Rattus norvegicus: one gene and its partner. The protein of the gene in region 1 purifies or fractionates together with the protein of each later gene. This does not show direct contact. Links are inferred from orthologs where the notes say so. Each region holds a gene or a part of one and is shown in the gene's direction. Other genes may lie near its edges.

Region 1 (9,767 bases):
TGGCTGAGTCATGAGTCACGTTCAAAGCCAACATGAATAAACACTCTAAGATCAAGAAACAGACGACGAGAGGCCAAGAGACAGAGACCCTGAGAAGCCAAGAGGAAGGGCCTGAGTCCAGGAGCAGCTGCCCACACACTGTCTGAGAGTCAAATGCCAAGCTACCAGCTCCATCCCAGCCAGAACATCTTCCTATGCAGGCTCCTTCCAGGGAAGACTGCTAACCTCAATCCCACTCCCATTGCCTTGGCCATTCTAAACCTCTCTATCCACAGGAAAGCAGAACTTCCTGGGGACAGAGAAAAGGGGAGTCATCCAGTCAGAAAGTGTAGAGGACAATTCCGGGCTCACCACTTCCAGAGCAAGGAACAGCTGATGTTCTGGGTCCCATTGTGAAACCTGCCTCCCTCACCCAGAATAGCAGATACCCAACATTCCCGTGCCTCGGTTCCCCCATCCTCCAGAGGCAAGTAGGGGCATCACTTTTAAGGTTTCTTGAAAAGTTTGGTGACACAATACTCATTGACAGATGCCACCACTGGCTTGTGAGCAAAGAGACTCTCCCTCATCCCTCAGCTGGGCGGAGTTTCTCAGATCTCCGAGTCACTGCTCACCAGCTGGACAAAGGTCCTGCCAGTCAGGTGTGGCTCGTGAATCTCGTCTTTCCCAAAACTAAAAAAGCGAAGATGGTGAGCTTCAGCTGAGCCCCAGCTCCACCCCACATGACCTTTAAGAACAATACTGCCCTGGGGTAGTATGTCTCAGGGTGATCCTGGAATCTGATCCTCTAAAATAAACACACCGAGCCAGAGCCCAGAAACACGTGCCTTCTGGGTATCACAGCAATCCTTCCTAGGCCCCTTCTGAAGAGCTGGCTCCTGTGAAAACCCCGAAGTGGCTCAGGAGTGCGTCTTCCCTCGGGTCTTGCTGGTGTGGATTTCACAGCTGAGTGCAGGTTTGCATCCGAAGAGTTGGTGAGCACTGCCCCCTACAGGCAAGACTTAGCAGCCTGGCTGCAGCAGGTCCTCACCCGGAGGCCTTTGTAGGTCCAGCGAAGCCCATAACTTTAGAAGACAACAAGCAGCCTTAAGGAAAATGGAGATAATCACCTAGGTCCTTAATCACACCAACTTACCATAAACAGGAAGGCAGAGGGGGTGGAGCTAAGCTATGTTAGTCAGGGCATGGGTGTCCAACCTAGCCGCAATCCTTGTAGGGAAATACTGTACCTGAATTGGAAACCCAAGGGTCCTGCCTGACAGCTGCTTAGTTCTAGGCTCCCAGTTTCTAATGCTCCACAGCCCACAGGAGAAGACAGCAGAGCTGTTCTCGGTGTTCGGATGTTGTCCGGAGGATGGCCTGTTCCCATCGGGTGAACACAGTTGAACAGGATCCACAGCAGGCTGACTGACTCCAAAGCAGAACTTGTTGTCCAGAGCCCTCGGTCTCCCACACGTGCTAAGGGAGCAACGTGGGGCCAGTCACACTGTGGGAAATTTCACCACTTCAGAGATGCAGTCTGCAAAGAGACAATGTGACCAAAGGTCTCAGGATGGCACCTAACCAGAGCCTTTACAAATACGCCTCCCATTGGATCCAGTTCTTGTGACCAAGAGCTAAATGTTCCTTCCGGAGTGGGAATGGGCTCCTTCTAGTTAGTAGTGACCATCTCCTTCCCGAGACATCAGGTCCTCAGACAAGCAATACTGTTTAGGAGGCCGGAGACGCACCTCAGTTGGTAGGGCTCTTCCCTAGCATGTATGAAGTCCTGGGTTCAGTCCCCAGCATATGTACTAGCAGATACCTGTTATCCAAGCACTTAGGAGGTGGAGGACTGGGGATGGGAGTTCAAGGTAATCTTTGGCTACAGAGTGAGTTTGAGGCCAACCTGGGATACATAAGACCCTGAATAAGCAACTGAGTAAATAAAAAGAAATATCAGTTGGTTGAGAATGTCTGGGGAATAGTTCATACTGGCCAAAGTAAACGATAAGGCTTGTGTATCCGTTAAATGAGGGACAGCCTTTCTAGAGCCTTTACTTTTCACTGGGGCCCAGTCTGAACTCTTCACCCTGGGATCAAGAATCCTAGCACTCGTATCCATCTTGTATAAAAGACTCATGCAGCAGAAGTCCCAGCAAATGAGGAAAGAGTTGACCAGTTGGCTACTGGATATCACTGTCCACTTTGTATCTGGGAAGTAGGAAACCTTGCTGCGAAGCCAATCCTATCCTGGCCGCCTGGAACCAACCTGAAGACCTCACAGAGAAGACAGATCTGAGTAAACGTCACCAGCGACTTCTACAACAAGTTGGTGGTGTGCCTCACAGACACCTGCCCCAGGCCAAAGAAACCCTTCTGTCAGGTTTGAAGGAATCTCTCAGCTCCCAGCAGGTGTGAATTCAGTTTGAAGCTGCAGGAGCACACACATGATCATGGGCCAGTGGTTTCTCTACAGCTCCTTGTTAGAGAGCGACAGTCGCAGGAGAGCTACAAAATGAACAAGCACAGCTTCCTCTTAATTCGTGGGTTTGGACTGTAGAGCCTACATGCTCGTGAAAATGAACAGTGTCATGCTACAGTTGGCATGAGATAGTGAGCAGAGTCTTAGCTCCTGACCTCCGTGCTCAGACACTTCCTATTACCTGGCAGAGAAACGGGCTGTGGCTTCGTGGAAAGAATGAAGCCATTCTTCTCTCCTATACCATCTAACCTGTCCATAGGGATCAAGTCTGATTGCCAGCCACACGTTCCCAAGAGATCTCTGAAATGACGGACAGATGTTTGCAAACTGCCGTGTACAGAGGTCACACAGAACAGAGAGAACTGGCTAGAATGGATGAGGCTGAGGGTTACACAAGGGAAACCCTCCACAGTCCCCTGTTGTGAGCATTATCTGGTTGCAGGCCTGAGTGAGGGGCAAGTGGAGGGCCAGGACTGGATTCAAAGCTTGCGGTAGCCAGCAGATGGCTCTTATCAATACCCCAGAGTTCAGAGCTACAGTGGCCCCATAGCACAGAGAAGAACGTGGTCTTACAAAGGTTCTTGACATCTTAGTCACACAGCTGAGAGACATCAGTCAGGAAAGGGATTCTGATGCCTGCCCGTGGCTGAGGGTCAGGTGAGTAAAAAAGCTTGGATGGGTGGCAGGGTAGGGGTCATGGTACAGCTGACTGGGGTGACTCAGACCAGTAGGGACCATGTTCTTAAGGCTGCTGTGCCTAGCACTTGACCCTACCCAATCCCATGTAGAGATACTAACACCTGCCTGAAATTCTGACAGCCTCCACTGTAGGGACAAGATGGGGGTGGTAAGGCCAACAGGGCCCAGGTTTCTGTCTTTTGATGCCAATGAAGCACTTAATTCTGAAACTGTCATTTGCACCCAGGCCAGGGCTACTAAATGTGGTTGTTGGGTTTTAAAGTCTTTAATTATGGTGTGTGTGTGTGTGTGTGTGTGTGTGTGTGTGCGCGTGCGTGCGCGCGCGCGCGCGCATGCGTGCAAAAGTGTGAGTATACCATGGTATACATATAAAGGTTAGATACAACTTAAAAAAAAACTTATTTATATGAATACACTGTAGCTATCTTCAGACACACCAGAAGAGGGCATCAGATTCCATTATAGATGGTCTAGATGGTCGTGAGCCACCATGTGGTTGCGGGGAATTGAACTCAGGACCTCTGAAAGAGCAGTTATCATTCTGCCAAGCCATCTCTCCAGCCCTAGAGTAGAACTCTTAAGAATTGCTTCTCTCCTGCCCCCTCTAGGATCCAGGGGTGGAGCTCCAGTTACCAAGTCTGTGCACAAGAATCTCTATGGACGGACCATCTCACTAGCCCCTGGGTTTTTTGTTTGTTTGTTTGTTGTTTTTTAGCTATTTTTTCTTAAACAGTTTTCGTGATGTGTAATTTACATACTGCACAATTTATCACTGGCAAAGGGAGACACACTTCTAGCTGTGCAGCCTGAGTCTTTTCCAAGTTATCTACTCAGGTGAAGCCCAGATTTTTTTTGGGCCGTGTGTGTCATGCTATGCCGAATTGGCTGACTCAGAACTCAGAGAGATCCGCTCGCCTCTCCCTCTCTGAAGGCCCAGCTGGTGCATTTTTAAAGCATGAGGTTTGTTCCTGCTCCTCTCGGGACAGAGTCGTAGGCAGTAAAAGGGCCAACCACCAGGAGTCGCTGCTGCACCGGAAGCCAGCCTTCGTTGCGCCTGCGCGGACCCGGGCACGCGGCGTTCCCGAGCCCTGCGAGTGCGCGCCCTCCACACCAAGTGCGCCTGCGCGGAGCCTGTAGTAGCCTTTCTCGCGCCGGGCGCTCGTCGCTCGCCGGCGGCCATGGGGGAGGCCGAGGTAGGCGGCACGGGCGCCCCAGGCGATAAGGGCCCAGGCGAGGCAGCCCCGAGCCCTGCTGAGGAGACGGTGGTGTGGAGCCCTGAAGTGGAAGTGTGCCTCTTCCACGCCATGCTGGGCCACAAGCCTGTCGGTGAGCGCCGCGCCGCGCACCGGCGTGGGGGTGGGGCGGGATAAACCGTCGGGCGGGCTGGCGGAGCCTGCGACCCCGCACGGGCGGGACCTCCCACTCTGGGGTGCCCTGTTAGTCCAAGAGACCATGACTTTCCTTCCCGAGAAGCCCTCTCCCAGGGGACACTCCTGACTTCCCTGCCCTTGAGACAGTCCTACCCCAGGGAACGCCTCCATTCTCCCCGCCTCTGCAGCCCCTCTGCCCAGGACCCGCCTACTATACACCCTAACCACCTGCCTTGTGGCACCCTTCGTCCCCTTTGACACTTGACTCCTGCAACACTTGCACCTGTGGTTTGCACACTCCTGCCCCTCCTACACCCATGTCCTCTGCACAGAGGTGCTATCCTAACCCTCAACCCACTGTCCTGCCTCTCAGGGGTGAATCGACACTTCCACATGATTTGTATCCGAGACAAGTTCAGCCAGAATATTGGGCGCCAGGTTCCATCCAAGGTGATCTGGGACCATTTGAGCACTATGTACGACATGCAGGCACTGGTGAGTGGACCCTGGCCCACTCATTTGGGGGCTGAAGGTGGAGTCAAGTCCCGGATGCTGCCTTCCCAGAGTCCTCTGTGGTACAGGACAGAGCCCTCTTCTCACTTGGGGTTTGGTATGCAAAGATCTCAAAAGATGAGGCTCCTTCCTCAATCCTGCCTTGAAAAGCACAAACTAGGGATTCACTAACCACTTTCTCAGGACACCTACTTTAGATTGGTGGCACAAAGTGTCAAGGAGATAGTTGGGCGCTGAGATGATAGAGAAGCCTCAGCCACCGTAAAAGGCAGTAATAGGGTGCAGTGTCGGTATTGGGGTCCTTTGAGAATCTGTATACTGTGGGAGCTAGACTGTTCCTCTTCTGAGAGCAGAGAGGGTAGCTAGGTAACTGGTTTGGAGAGCTGGCAGTGTCTGACTCGTGTGTAGGTAACTAGTAACCTTGCTAGTCAGGTTTGTCTGCAGTGTCTGGCAGGCAGTGAGACTACGTAACCAGGATGGGTGGGGCTGTAGGGGCCTGTGGTTGGTCATGGCGCCCCTGGATACATTGTCCTGGTGGGAGTGTTACAATGGTGAACAGGTCAGGTCCTTGTGAGCACATCAGGGGAGCTGCTATGACTCCAGGGCTCTCTCGGTGGCATGAACCTGGTCCTCTCCTCTGGTTTGGTTTGGCTGGTGCTAGCCTGGCCCTCCCTAGTCATCTGAGAAGCCCAGCTGAGGTGGACTCTGCAAGCTGGAGCAAGGAGCCCCACCAGCTCGCAGCCTCCAGCCTGCTCCTCCGTACAGCTTAGTGAGCGGAGACCCTGTTTTCTGTTTCTTGAAAATACAAAACGCTTTGTGCCGGCAGCACGAGTCTGAGATTCTGCCATTCCCAAATCCAGAGAGGAACTTTGTCCTTCCCGATGAGATCATTCAGGAAGTCCGAGAAGGTGAGACTCAGCCACCACCAGGGCTGGGAATAAAAAAAGCCTCACCAGGCCAAAGGTGGGGAGGTCTGGGGCCTCCAGGGAGGTGTAAGGACCCTGCTCAGACCACGCCTCCAGTGGCGCCTGGGAGGTTTGGGGAGCCGAGGGCTGGGGCGAGCGGTGCTCAAAGGCAGTCTCCTGATGGATGCCGTCTTACGATGGACGCCGAGGCCTGTGTGGGCAGCGAGAGTCGGAAGCAGTCCTGGCCAGACCGTCCCCCAGCGCTGGCCACCACCGTGGGTTTCCAGTGAACGGCAGCTGTCTCCTCCACAGGAAAAGTGGTCATTGAAGAAGAAATGAAGGAGGAGATGAAGGAGGATGTGGACCCCCACAGTGGGGCTGATGACGGTGAGTGGAAGTGCCTTCTGGAGCCGTCACCACCACGGGCCAGCCTCAGGCAGAGTGAGGTCAGGAAGCTGAGAGTCAGGAGCGAAGCATCCCTTTCAGATGAACTCAGTGTGGGAGGGCCTCTGAGAGCCATGAGGAAGGGGCCGAGGCCAAGGCTGGGGGCCTCTGAGAGCCATGAGGAAGGGGCCGAGGCCAAGGCTGGGGGCATTGGGTGGGCTTAGACAGGAGACCCCCTGAGAGACTCGGTTTCTCTTCGAGCCCAGCTGTACAGGGCACTTACCCGGGGAACATACTGGGTCCGAACGCCTGGTTTCTCTAGCTGAAGAGGAAAATGAGATGAGTTTCTGGATATTCTGTTTTCAGCCAAATGATTTTGTTTCCCAGTTTTTTCATCTTCAGGGAGCTTGGGGAAAGCATTAGAAAAATCCAGCAAAGACAAAGAGAAGAACTCCTCAGACTTGGGGTGCAAAGAAGGGGCAGACAAGCGGAAGCGCAGCCGGGTCACTGACAAGGTCCTGACTGCCAACAGCAATCCCTCCAGCCCCAGTGCTGCCAAGAGGCGCCGCACATAGACACCTCAGCCCCAGGTGGCCAAGAGATGCTCCAGCTGCCTGTCCTCAGGTCCCTGGGTGAATGTGGCCATCCAGCAGAGATGCTAGTGGGGCTTCCGCTGTGTCATCAGACCTCCAGAGCACTTGATTGGTCCAAAAGGCCAGCAAGACCGGTGTCCACTCTGCTGGATGGTGAAGCCTCTGAGCCAGCCTCTTGCTTTCTCCTGGTCAGTTCCCTTATGCCCACAGTGTGTGGAGAAGAGCAGGTGCGTGGGCCAGAGGACCAAGAGTCAGCAAGCAATAAGACGTCACCCTCACTGTCCTCAGGAGCCAGGCATCCTCCCTGGGTGCCCAGTCTTTGCATCTGCTTTTCCTGTAAGACTCCATTGTGCACTGGCATCCAGAGAAGGTGTCTTTGGAGTTCACACAGCACACACTGTGCACAGAAGGCCTCCCCCATCTGGGAAATAGAACTGGATATTTTGCCTCATTCACTTGTACTGTAATAGTGTATATAATTTAGTTGGTATTTCACTATTTAATTTTTAAGAAGCCTATTTTACTAGTGTTTTGTATGAAGAAAAATACTGCAGAAGTTAAACCTGTGATGTGTTTTTTTGAGCTGTTTTGTTTTAAGGTAACTACTGAGATACGTCTGGCTGTTTTTATATGCCAGATACAGAGAATTTTTAGCGGTTATTTTTGTAATTTTAGTAACTTGGAAAAGACCAAATAAGGGGGTGGAACAAAGGAACAGCCATCAGGCTGAAAAGCCAGTGGCCTGATGGCTGAAGCACATTTTCATTTGCAGGATATTAAAGCATTAAAAAACTATCTTGGGAGTTGTGTGATTTGCTACTAAAACAAGTTGGTTTTTAAATTCTTCCTACAGAGGAAAGGGTCCCCCACTCTAGAACTCATAACCATAGGGTACACTTAAGATGACTTCTTGGCATCGCTGGATGCAGTAAGGTTATGAGCCTTCATCAGAGACTCTTAGGACACCCACCCCCAACTCCTGCCTACCTGGCCGCTACCTATTATCCTCCATAGCCAAGTCCAGCTGTTGGGTGGATGAGCACAGTGAAATGTCAGACCATCTTGACTACTGCCTGTGACTGAAACCGCCCCCCTGCCATCTGCAGGGTCCCAGGCAATGAGAACTGGCCTGCTGTGGCACTCCAAGCTGGCCTACATCAGCCACTTCTAGTCAGGGCAGTTGGGTCACCATAAACGTACCACTAGACCCAGCTCCCTGGCGTAGGGAGCATCCTGAGTTGACACAGGTGAGCTAGCTAGATGAAGTGGCAGCCCTGTACACTGCATTCAGACCTGGACCAGTGCTTGTGTGTTCAGTGCAAGAGACAGGGAAAGAGGTGTTACAGCATGTTTGGGGAAATGGCTTGGGGCCACTCCATCCTGTCCCTCCCCAGTGTCCACTACTAGAGGCCTGTTCTGTGGAAGAAGCCTAGCTGTTGAATCCACCACTAGCAGGAGAAACAGAGGGCAGATGGTGACGATCAGGACAGAGGTCCTCTCTGGTCAGGCTCACTCTTCTAAACCCATCTGAAAGAACAATCTAGGGCCATGAGAGCATGCCAGTAGGCCTGGTCAAGGCATTTGCCTTGAGGATTATTTTCTGTTTGTTCCCCAACAGCCCAGTGTCTGGATCTGAAGTCAAACCTGCTGCCTTCCTGAGCTATTCTGACCTTGTGATTCACAGGCATGGCCCTTTGTCCCTACGAAATGTCACTGACAACTGGGTCCAAGCAGCATGGCACACTGCCTCTTGCAAATATTACTGTCAGCCCATGGCATGTCCATCTTTCAGCTTTCTAGGACAGTTGTGGGAGAGGGGGCATTCACCCAAGGGACCCACTAACATCCCATGTACAATTTCCCTATCTAATGGCATTTAAACCAGGTGCCAGCCTGAGCATAGTCGGTGTCAGAAGCACTGGGGCAAAGATCAAAGACAGCCCAAGTTTACATTTTTACTTAATGAACATATGTATTTGTGTGGGTGCATGTGGAAATCAGAGAACTTCTTGCCTTCTACTATCTGGGTCCCAGGGATTGAGGGACATCTAAGTCTCTACAGTAGCCCATCAGTCTGATTTTGGTGGTTTTTGAGTTTCCAACTCAAGGGTTTCCAACTCTAGGGAACTTCAACAGGTCATACCGTAGTCTCTTACATACTGGACTGTCGCTAGAGACAATATATTTTTACTATGAGATTCCCAGAATATTACAGGTTCCTATCTGGTCAAGAAGTAAGGCCACACTTGAAGATCAAATACACACATACACATAACCTTGATTAACATTATTTGGAATACGGCTATATAAAAAGATTATTTTCTCTATGTAGGCAGCCTTCAAGCACATTTTGTCAACTGTCCCAGAATTCAGAACTCTCAACTGGTGAGAAACTTCAACCATGGTGGAATGCCGGTCCTTACCCCACTCCACCCCAACCCTGCTACCCACCCATGTCTCCTTTCCATTGCTATCTTGCTTCAAATAGTATGTTACATAACAAGCCCAGGCACATGGCCACAGTCATCAGTAAAGTCCACCTAAATTCAAAGGCTACTTAGCCACATGAGCCCAGGAAATTTGCAGTGCACAGGAGTGGGACAGAAATCACAAAAGCAGAGGGAATATGGAAATGGTTCAATTGCTAAAAAAAAAAAAAAAAAAAAAAAAAAATCCTTGCTAGTGGGAGAGCCTGTGTTAGATCACCACCTAGAAGCTGGGCTTGGTGGTGTGTACCTGTAATTCCAGCGCTGAGACAGTAGTAGCCCAGGGATTTCCTGGATAGCCAGCCTCATGTAACCTATGAACTCCAGGTAAGTGAAAACTCTCAGAATGTAAG
Region 2 (7,895 bases), on another chromosome or scaffold:
AAAATAAGTAAATCTATTTTTTAAAAAGGGGGATTGGCAGAAACTGGGGGAAAGTTTAACTAGGGCAGAAGTATTTGAAAGTCTATTCACAGTTGAGTCCCAGTTTACTTACCACTAAATGTTTAACTGAAGTGCACATACATCAAATACTTACAAAAGAAATTTTGCAGGGAAATAACATTGCTATCTATGAGCATCTGTTTACCTTCACTCATGAGAGGTCATCAGCAATGGCTGAGTCATCATTTTCCTAGGTATGAAATGCCCTGACCCTTCCAGAAAAAAAAAAAATTAATTACCAAATATTGCCTGCCTAATACCAATAAGTCTCCCCACAGAATTAGATCTTTAGATTACAAATGGTAGGAAAGACTTACAAGTTAGATACCAATTAAATGGAGCTGTAACACAAAAAGTAAGAGAATCGGTAGGAGTATTTTTCCAGGGAGAAGTACTTTTTTGCCCATGTGGGCCATGAACTTAGTTCAGTTCAAGAACGTGTGAAGGTGCCGATAGCCTAACGGTCTTCTGGGCACATACAGTGTGTGTGGTAGAAGTGCTGCTGTCTAGTGAGTGGTACCAGGCAGAAGTGGGACCCTGGAGGTTAGTAAAGCCCCTCCCAAGTTACAAGTGAAATTCAGAAGACTTGATGGGGTGATGACATTTCAACTAGCAGAGCACTTCTAGGCAGTCAGGTGGGCATGTTTGAGAACGGCGGGCTGAAGCACAAGGAGTGTTGGTAATAGGTGCTCTGGTACCGGGTACGGCTAAACTCTGTTGTTGCTTTGAGTTGTGGGGTTTTTTTTGGGGGGGGGGGTGGTTTTTTTGTTTGGGGCTTGGGGGGGTTGGGTTTTTTTTTTGGTTTGTTTGTTTGAGTTGTGGTTTTTTGGTTTTGTTTGTTTGGGGGTTTTGGTTTTTTTGTTTGTTTGCTTGCTTGCTTTTTAAGTAACTTTTACTCAGACAGGAAAGGACTCTTTAAGAAGCCTTCACTGTCAGGTGGCTGTGATATTGCTTTCTTTTTTCTTCCCCTTCCCCACTTTCTTTTCAAATTGACAAAGGAAAAGAATAAAGAAACAGGTTTCCTTTTTAAAGTTGCACACACTTTTGGGGGTAATAAATGAACATTTTTTTGTTTGTCTTTTTTAGAACTGAGCTCTCCATAGACACACATAAGTAGCATAACACAGTGTCTGTCCTCAGGCTTCACTCTGTACAGTAATCAGCATTACTCCGTTCTTATTGACTGGATTTTGTCCAGGTGGGTTAACTGGGTGGGGAAAGTTCATTAACCTTAACCCTGGGACTTCTTTTCTTCCTGTTAAACTTGAAAGATGAGTTCTCCTGTTTAAGTATTAAACTATTGGATTTACTTTTTATGTAGAGGAAAGTTTTATAATGACTGGAATAAGAAGCTATGTAGACTTTAGTGTTTGTACACAGCTGTTGGGACGGCCTGAGCCTTGGCATGGCGATCTGGACAAAATAGAAGCGGAATGCTGGTTACCAGGTTTCACCTCATGTGCAGTGCAAAGGGCATCTCCAAGCTCGTGGACTGAGAGCCCAAGAGCACTTTCTGTGCTGTCCAGCACAGTGTCACACACAGCTGAGAAAAGCAGTGGTTTTTCTTGAAGTTGAAGCCACTTTGGTTAGATGTGGCAGAAGATGCTGGTTTCTGTCTGGAATGATCTCTAGCAGCATCATTTCTATCCAAATGCCTCCACTTTGCACAAAAACACCTTTTTCTTATGCTGGACTTTTGTAGTGTTGTAAGGTGTCTGTGGCATCTGCATCTTTGTGAACCGCCTCCTTGTTTTATGTTCAGCATTTACAGCCGAGCAGTACCAGCAGCACCAGCAGCAACTGGCACTCATGCAGCAGCAGCAGCTTGCACAAACTCAGCAGCAGCAAGCAAATAGCAGTTCCTCCACCGCCGCTCCACAGGTGAGGGGCTTGTGTGTCTTATGATTATCCCTCATTGTTTCCCACCAGAGTTCATCTCTCATTACCAAGGGTTGTCATAGAACCTTGCATCTAACCAGCAGACACGTGGCTCTGGCCTGAATGTACAGGGTTTAGAAAGAACACTCCAGGTGAGTATGGAAGCCGTTCCCTCTGCTGCTGTTATACAGAGTAACTTAAGAACGTAGCTCTCTAAGTTGTAAAGTAGCTTCATTCTGACGGGTCTGTAATGTACTGTCCTCATCGCAAAGCCCCATGCAGCTGATGTTCCAGTTCCAGAGTTAACCCAAAACCATCTGTTCTGCTCTTAAGTATGGAAAGATACTTGCTGTATAGATAGACTTGGGGCTGAACGGCTGAGAATTGAGTCCTTCCAAGCATTTAAAGGAAATTTCATTTTTGAAGATGCGAGAGGCCTTTTCATTTTTAAATTATGATGTCAGATCTTTTTTTAATTAAGGGATGGTTGTCTTACTATTGAAAGGTGCTTCTGGGTGGACAGTGGGTGGATATTAGCACTGAGGGTGGGTAGGAAGAATGGTGTTTGGAGATTAAATGAAAGAAGTTACGTATTTGCCTTAATGGATTTGTCCAGGACTGAACTACCTGAGAAAATTGAAACTTTCTGCTGCTGTTGTATTCTGCACTAATAGGCTTATTTTTGTAATTGCTTTGTATATATTCTGTATTATCATAGGAAGATCAAAATGTGTAAACCTTTAAGTTAGACAATTAACTATAGCTATGAAAATGAAGTAGATTTCATTGGTTTGCTGCTTTTAGAGCTGTGAAGCTGATTCTGGTGACCTGTGTAGTGACACTGACTGACTCTGGTGACCTGTGTAGTAACACTGACTGACTCTGGTGACCTGTGTAGTGATGCTGACCGACTCTGGTGACCTGTATAGTGACGCTGACCGACTCTGGTGACCTGTGTAGTGACGCTGACTGACTCTGGTGACCTGTGTAGTGACATTGACTGACTCTGGTGACCTGTGTAGTGACGCTGACTGACTCTGGTGACCTGTGTAGTGATGCTGACTGACTCTGGTGACCTGTGTAGTGACGCTGACTGACTCTGGTGACCTGTGTAGTGACATTGACTGACTCTGGTGACCTGTGTAGTGACGCTGACTGACTCTGGTGACCTGTGTGTAGTGACGCTGACTGACTCTGGTGACCTGTGTAGTGAGGCTGACTGACTAGTGACTCTGTGCAGTGATGCTGACCGACTCTGGTGACCTGTGTACTGATGCTGACTGACTCTGGTGACCTGTGTAGTGACGCTGACTGACTCTGGTGACCTGTGTGTAGTGACGCTGACTGACTCTGGTGACCTGTGTAGTGACGCTGACTGACTCTGGTGACCTGTGTAGTGAGGCCGACCGACTTTGATCACCTGTGGTACTGACTGATACTTCAAGACAATTACACTGATGACTTTTGTGTTTTCCTTTCAGGGTTTTGTTTCTAAGACGTTGGATTCTGCCAGTGCACAGTTCGCTGCTTCTGCTTTAATGACGTCAGAACAGCTGATGGGATTCAAGATGAAGGATGATGTGGTGCTTGGGATTGGGGTGAATGGCGTCCTTCCCGCCTCAGGTGAGGAGAAAGACCCAGTTATATTCACATGCATACATGTTTGTACACATTGTGATTTAGCCGCAGAGTGCAGTGTTTACATGCTTTCTTCCTCTCCCTAGGAGTATACAAGGGCTTGCACCTCAGCAGCACTACACCAACGGCGCTTGTACATACGAGTCCTTCGACCGCAGGTTCAACCTTGTTACAGCCTTCAAATATTACACAGACTTCGGGTTCCCACAGCGCACTGAGTCACCAAGTAACTGCTGCCAACTCTGCAACAACTCAGGTTCTGTTTGGGAACAACATCCGATTAACTGTCCCCTCATCTGTCCCCACTGTCAACTCTATCGCCCCAATAAACGCACGGCATATACCTAGGACTTTAAGTGCTGTTCCGCCATCTGCCTTAAAGCTGGCTGCTGCAGCAAACTGTCAAGTTTCCAAGGTCCCCTCCTCATCCTCTGTAGATTCAGTTCCAAGGTGAGTAGTTCTTTGAAGATTAAATGTCTGAAATGTAAACACCTAACTTGCCTCCTGAAGTGGCTATCCACCTAAGTCTTCTCTTCTTTTCCTTTTGTGTATTGAATATATATGGATATATATATATGAATACATGAATGAACCTTCGCTTACTCAAGAACTAAGCAAGCGGATGTAATAATTCAGTGTTGGTTGAATTCAGTCTTAAGACCAGGCCAGTCCACTCACTGGGACAGTCAGTGTTGCTTCTGGGGCCCGGACCTCCCCTAATTGAGCAGTAGCCTCGAGTGTCGTCACTCTTGTGTGGCTTTGGTGGAGGGAGGCCTCTTTAGGTGCTGTCATGCTGTTGATGGATCTCATCGGTGGCTTACTGTGGGGTAGACTTGGTAAAGCCTCCTTCGCCAGTCTGCTCGCTACTCATTGTGGAAATGCTGGCAGGCCTGCTGACATCTAATAAGCCGTGGCTTTCTCTGCTCACTGACCTTCTTGATTTCAGGAGTTTAAGGTTTTTGTCAAGGTTCCATTTTAACTATAACTATTAATTTAACTCTGTATTAACTAATTAAAATCCTATTGCTACAAAGTACTAGGAGAAAAGAAACAAAGACCTGCATTATTCAGATTAGCAAGAAATAAGCTTAAAACATGAATGTGGGTGTTAAAACAGTGCAGGTAATAGACAGAAGCCCTTCTAGGTTTGTCTCAGATCAGCGTGTGTTGCCCAGTTCATTGTATTGACAGTTGCTCTTGTTTTAAAACCGAATTGTGTGTTCTATGAAATATCAGACCCCACTTGATTGGGTGAAGAGAATGTGTATCATAAGTTTGAGTGGGCAAAGCAGAAATAAAAATTGGAGAAGATGGTGCTTAGCGGTTAACATTGCTGCCTAGAAGGCCAGTGCTATGCTTAGACCAACACTGAGACTTCAGCAGAGAGCGTTCGGGAGAGCAGCTGTGCAGGAGCTCACTTTGCACACCCACAGGCCCTGTCTACATTTATCTGTTCAGTACCAGGAACGCATTGTTGGTCTGATCATGGCTGATCAGTGGACTAGTTCTCCTCTTCCACATCACCAATCATGACTTTCATTGCTGTAGAACATGACAAATATGGGGACATTTACAGTAGATGGGACTTCTCATATCCCTGTCTTTACCCAGTGTTCCAGTCCTGTGTCTGTCTCACTTAGTGATGTTGATTGAGACCTAGATTTAAAGTCCCATCGTGAATTTTGGACATATTTGTGTCTGTGCTGGGTTGTTAAGAATTTTGGACATATTTGTGTCTGTGCTGGATGATTGTTAAGAATTTTGGACATATTTGTGTCTGTGCTGGATGATTGTTAAGAATTTTGGACATATTTGTGTCTGTGCTGGATGATTGTTAAGAATTTTGGACATATTTGTGTCTGTGCTGGATTGTTAAGAATTGTGGAGATATTTGTGTCTGTGCTGGATGATTGTTAAGAAAAGCTTTGGGTTGGGAGGAGGAGCTCCTCCGTGGGCAGAGGCGCTTGCCGTCAAGCCTGACAGCCCGCGTTGGTCCGTTGTATCGTGTGGTGGAAGAAGAGAAGCAGTCCTGCAGCTTGCCTCTGACTACACAACGTAATTGTGTAAAGGCCGAAAAAGAGTTCAGGGCCAAAGAGAACTACTCAGTGCTTGCCAGTACACGCAGGAGCAGCTGAGTTCATAATCCACATTTTTAAAGAAGCTTCACGTGTTGAGTGCATGACCCTACATTGTGGGGGTTACAGGAAAGGAAGGGATCAACTCCATGAACTTCAGCTTCTCTCAGAAATTAAGGTGAAGACGGATAGAAGTGACACTCGCCATCCACTTGTGGCCTCCATGTGCACGCACATGTGTGTACACACTCACACACATCCCAAAACGATGATAAAGGTTTGGGGCTAACATGATGGCTCCATGGGTAAAGGCCCTTGCCACCAAACCCATCAAGCTACGCTTGATCCCAGAACCTATGTGGTGGAAGAAAAGAACTGACTCCCAAAAGTTGAGCTGAGATACTCGAGTGAGCACACGTGTGTATGCACATATGTACTAAGTAAGTAGATAAGCGTAAGAAGGGAAGTCGGCTGTGGAAGGGAGCTGCTGTAACTGTCAGAGCTTGAGACGTTTCGGTGTTGAGTGTGTCTGTATCTTTGGGTCACTTGAGTTCTTGGACAGTGTTTTGGCAGTTGGCATGGAGTTGACTGTTGACCCCTGATATACTTGATTTCTACTTGCCTGTTTTTCATAATTACGAAAATTCCTAATCCTTCGTCCCCTTGCCCCATAAGTGACCTTTCTTCCTGCTGTTAAAGATAACTAAGGCTTTTAAAGGAAGGACGGCCTTCACTGGCTCAGCTCGTACATGACCATTGACTAACGGAACTTTTATCCCAACAGGGAAAATCATGAATCAGAAAAGCCAGCACTGAACAACATAGCAGACAACACAGTAGCAATGGAGGTGACGTAGCTTCCTGGGAGCAGGACTGCATCCTGGGGACATGGTCAGGTGCTATGCATCAGAGCGTTGGAACGCAGGGAGGATGGAGTGCGTAGGCGGTTCCGTGGCAGCTGTGGGGACTCGGCAGCACTGCGCACCTCTCGTGCTTCAACCTTTCTTTTCTTATTGTTAATAGGAAAAAATCAACATCTGTAAATTAAGAATACAGCAATTATCTGTACAGTACTGCATATTTGTAATACCCTTGTATATATGTTACTTGAATACAGAACTGTTCATTTGTGATGCTTTGCACTTGGGGGCGGGGGGTGGGGGGTAACTGCAACAAGAGTGTGAGCTGTGAGATTGTGTAGCTGGTGTCATCACATCATGTGCATGGTGCGGAACCTGCTGTCTCTATTTATTGTGCCGTGTTTACAGGTTTTGTACACTGTACCCTCATTGGTTCCTGTGCTGTAGTAAATGTGTTAGGTAGCTGTGGACTCCTTGGTATTTTGTAAATGGTATAACATAACTTGGTTCCCTCTGGGTCCTTGAGTTTTCTGTGTATCATGTGAAAAAAAAAATGGTGACATACATACAGAATTTTACAAAAAAAAAAAAGGCATCAGTTTTTTAAAACGGGGAATGTACTGTTCAATGGGGATCTTCCTGGTCTACTAGCATTAGGATGCGCAACAAGCTAAAAATGAAGTCTCTTGAATTCTCCCATCCCCGCCTGCCTGCAAGCTTGGGCAGCCCTGGTACTTAAAGCACTAATGTTATGTTGCTGCCCTACAAACAGCCCAGTCGTCCCATTTCCTTCCACACCAAAAAGTGTTAAATCAAGTACACAAACGGAGTCCTTACAACTGGAGTTTATGTTGTCTTGCCCTTTTTTTAGCACAAAAAGATGTACTTTTATATTGTGGAATTGTTTAAAGACTTCATTCTTTACTTGTTCTTACAGAAAGGATATAGGGGAGAAGAATGCTGTCCGTGTATCGTCATTCCAGTTTGTAAAACAGCCAGCCAGCTTTTTCCTTTTAAGATTCTCCAGAAGGCTGCGAGGCCAGAACCACAAATATCGGGTGCCTTCCTTTGGAAATATTTGACCTCTCTTCTGTGAAGAGAATGGTACTTACCAGACTACTACTGCTTTGTTAGTACCGAAGTCTGAATGCCCAGTCCAATGGCAGACATATGTTATCCTTAAGGTTTTTAATCCCACCTGGAAACATTGTGATAGAATTCTCACAAAATAAACCCAGGGCATTACATGTTGACAAACTAACGTGCAGTGGTCTCTGCCTTTTGTTTTCAACCCCAGAACTTTGTGTGACTTTGTTGTTTGAGTAAGGGGCTTGGTTAGAAATGGGAAGGGAGAACTTCATGTTTTCAGTGATTATTTTGATGT

What was found.
Region 2: the proteins of Mrgbp (region 1) and Epc1 purify together in Homo sapiens (affinity purification with mass spectrometry; 6 studies listed by BioGRID and IntAct, counting the BioPlex papers as one, with this or other methods). This does not show direct contact. The link is inferred for Rattus norvegicus from reciprocal best matches to the Homo sapiens genes MRGBP and EPC1.

What each region holds. Positions count from the first base shown.
Region 1 is NC_086021.1:188,070,440-188,080,206, forward strand, and holds Mrgbp (MRG/MORF4L-binding protein), read left to right. Parts: upstream 1-4,315; 5' UTR 4,316-4,341; coding exon 4,342-4,489; intron 4,490-4,906; coding exon 4,907-5,028; intron 5,029-5,872; coding exon 5,873-5,954; coding exon of another isoform or gene 5,955-6,263; coding exon 6,264-6,338; coding exon of another isoform or gene 6,339-6,559; exon of another isoform or gene 6,560-6,722; coding exon 6,723-6,910; 3' UTR 6,911-7,723; downstream 7,724-9,767.
Region 2 is NC_086035.1:59,198,390-59,206,284, reverse strand, and holds the end of Epc1 (enhancer of polycomb homolog 1), read left to right. Parts: intron 1-1,146; exon of another isoform or gene 1,147-1,258; intron 1,259-1,822; coding exon 1,823-1,941; intron 1,942-2,021; coding exon of another isoform or gene 2,022-2,090; intron 2,091-3,419; coding exon 3,420-3,561; intron 3,562-3,662; coding exon 3,663-4,026; intron 4,027-6,435; coding exon 6,436-6,508; 3' UTR 6,509-7,772; downstream 7,773-7,895. UniProt on the Homo sapiens protein: Component of the NuA4 histone acetyltransferase (HAT) complex, a multiprotein complex involved in transcriptional activation of select genes principally by acetylation of nucleosomal histones H4 and H2A.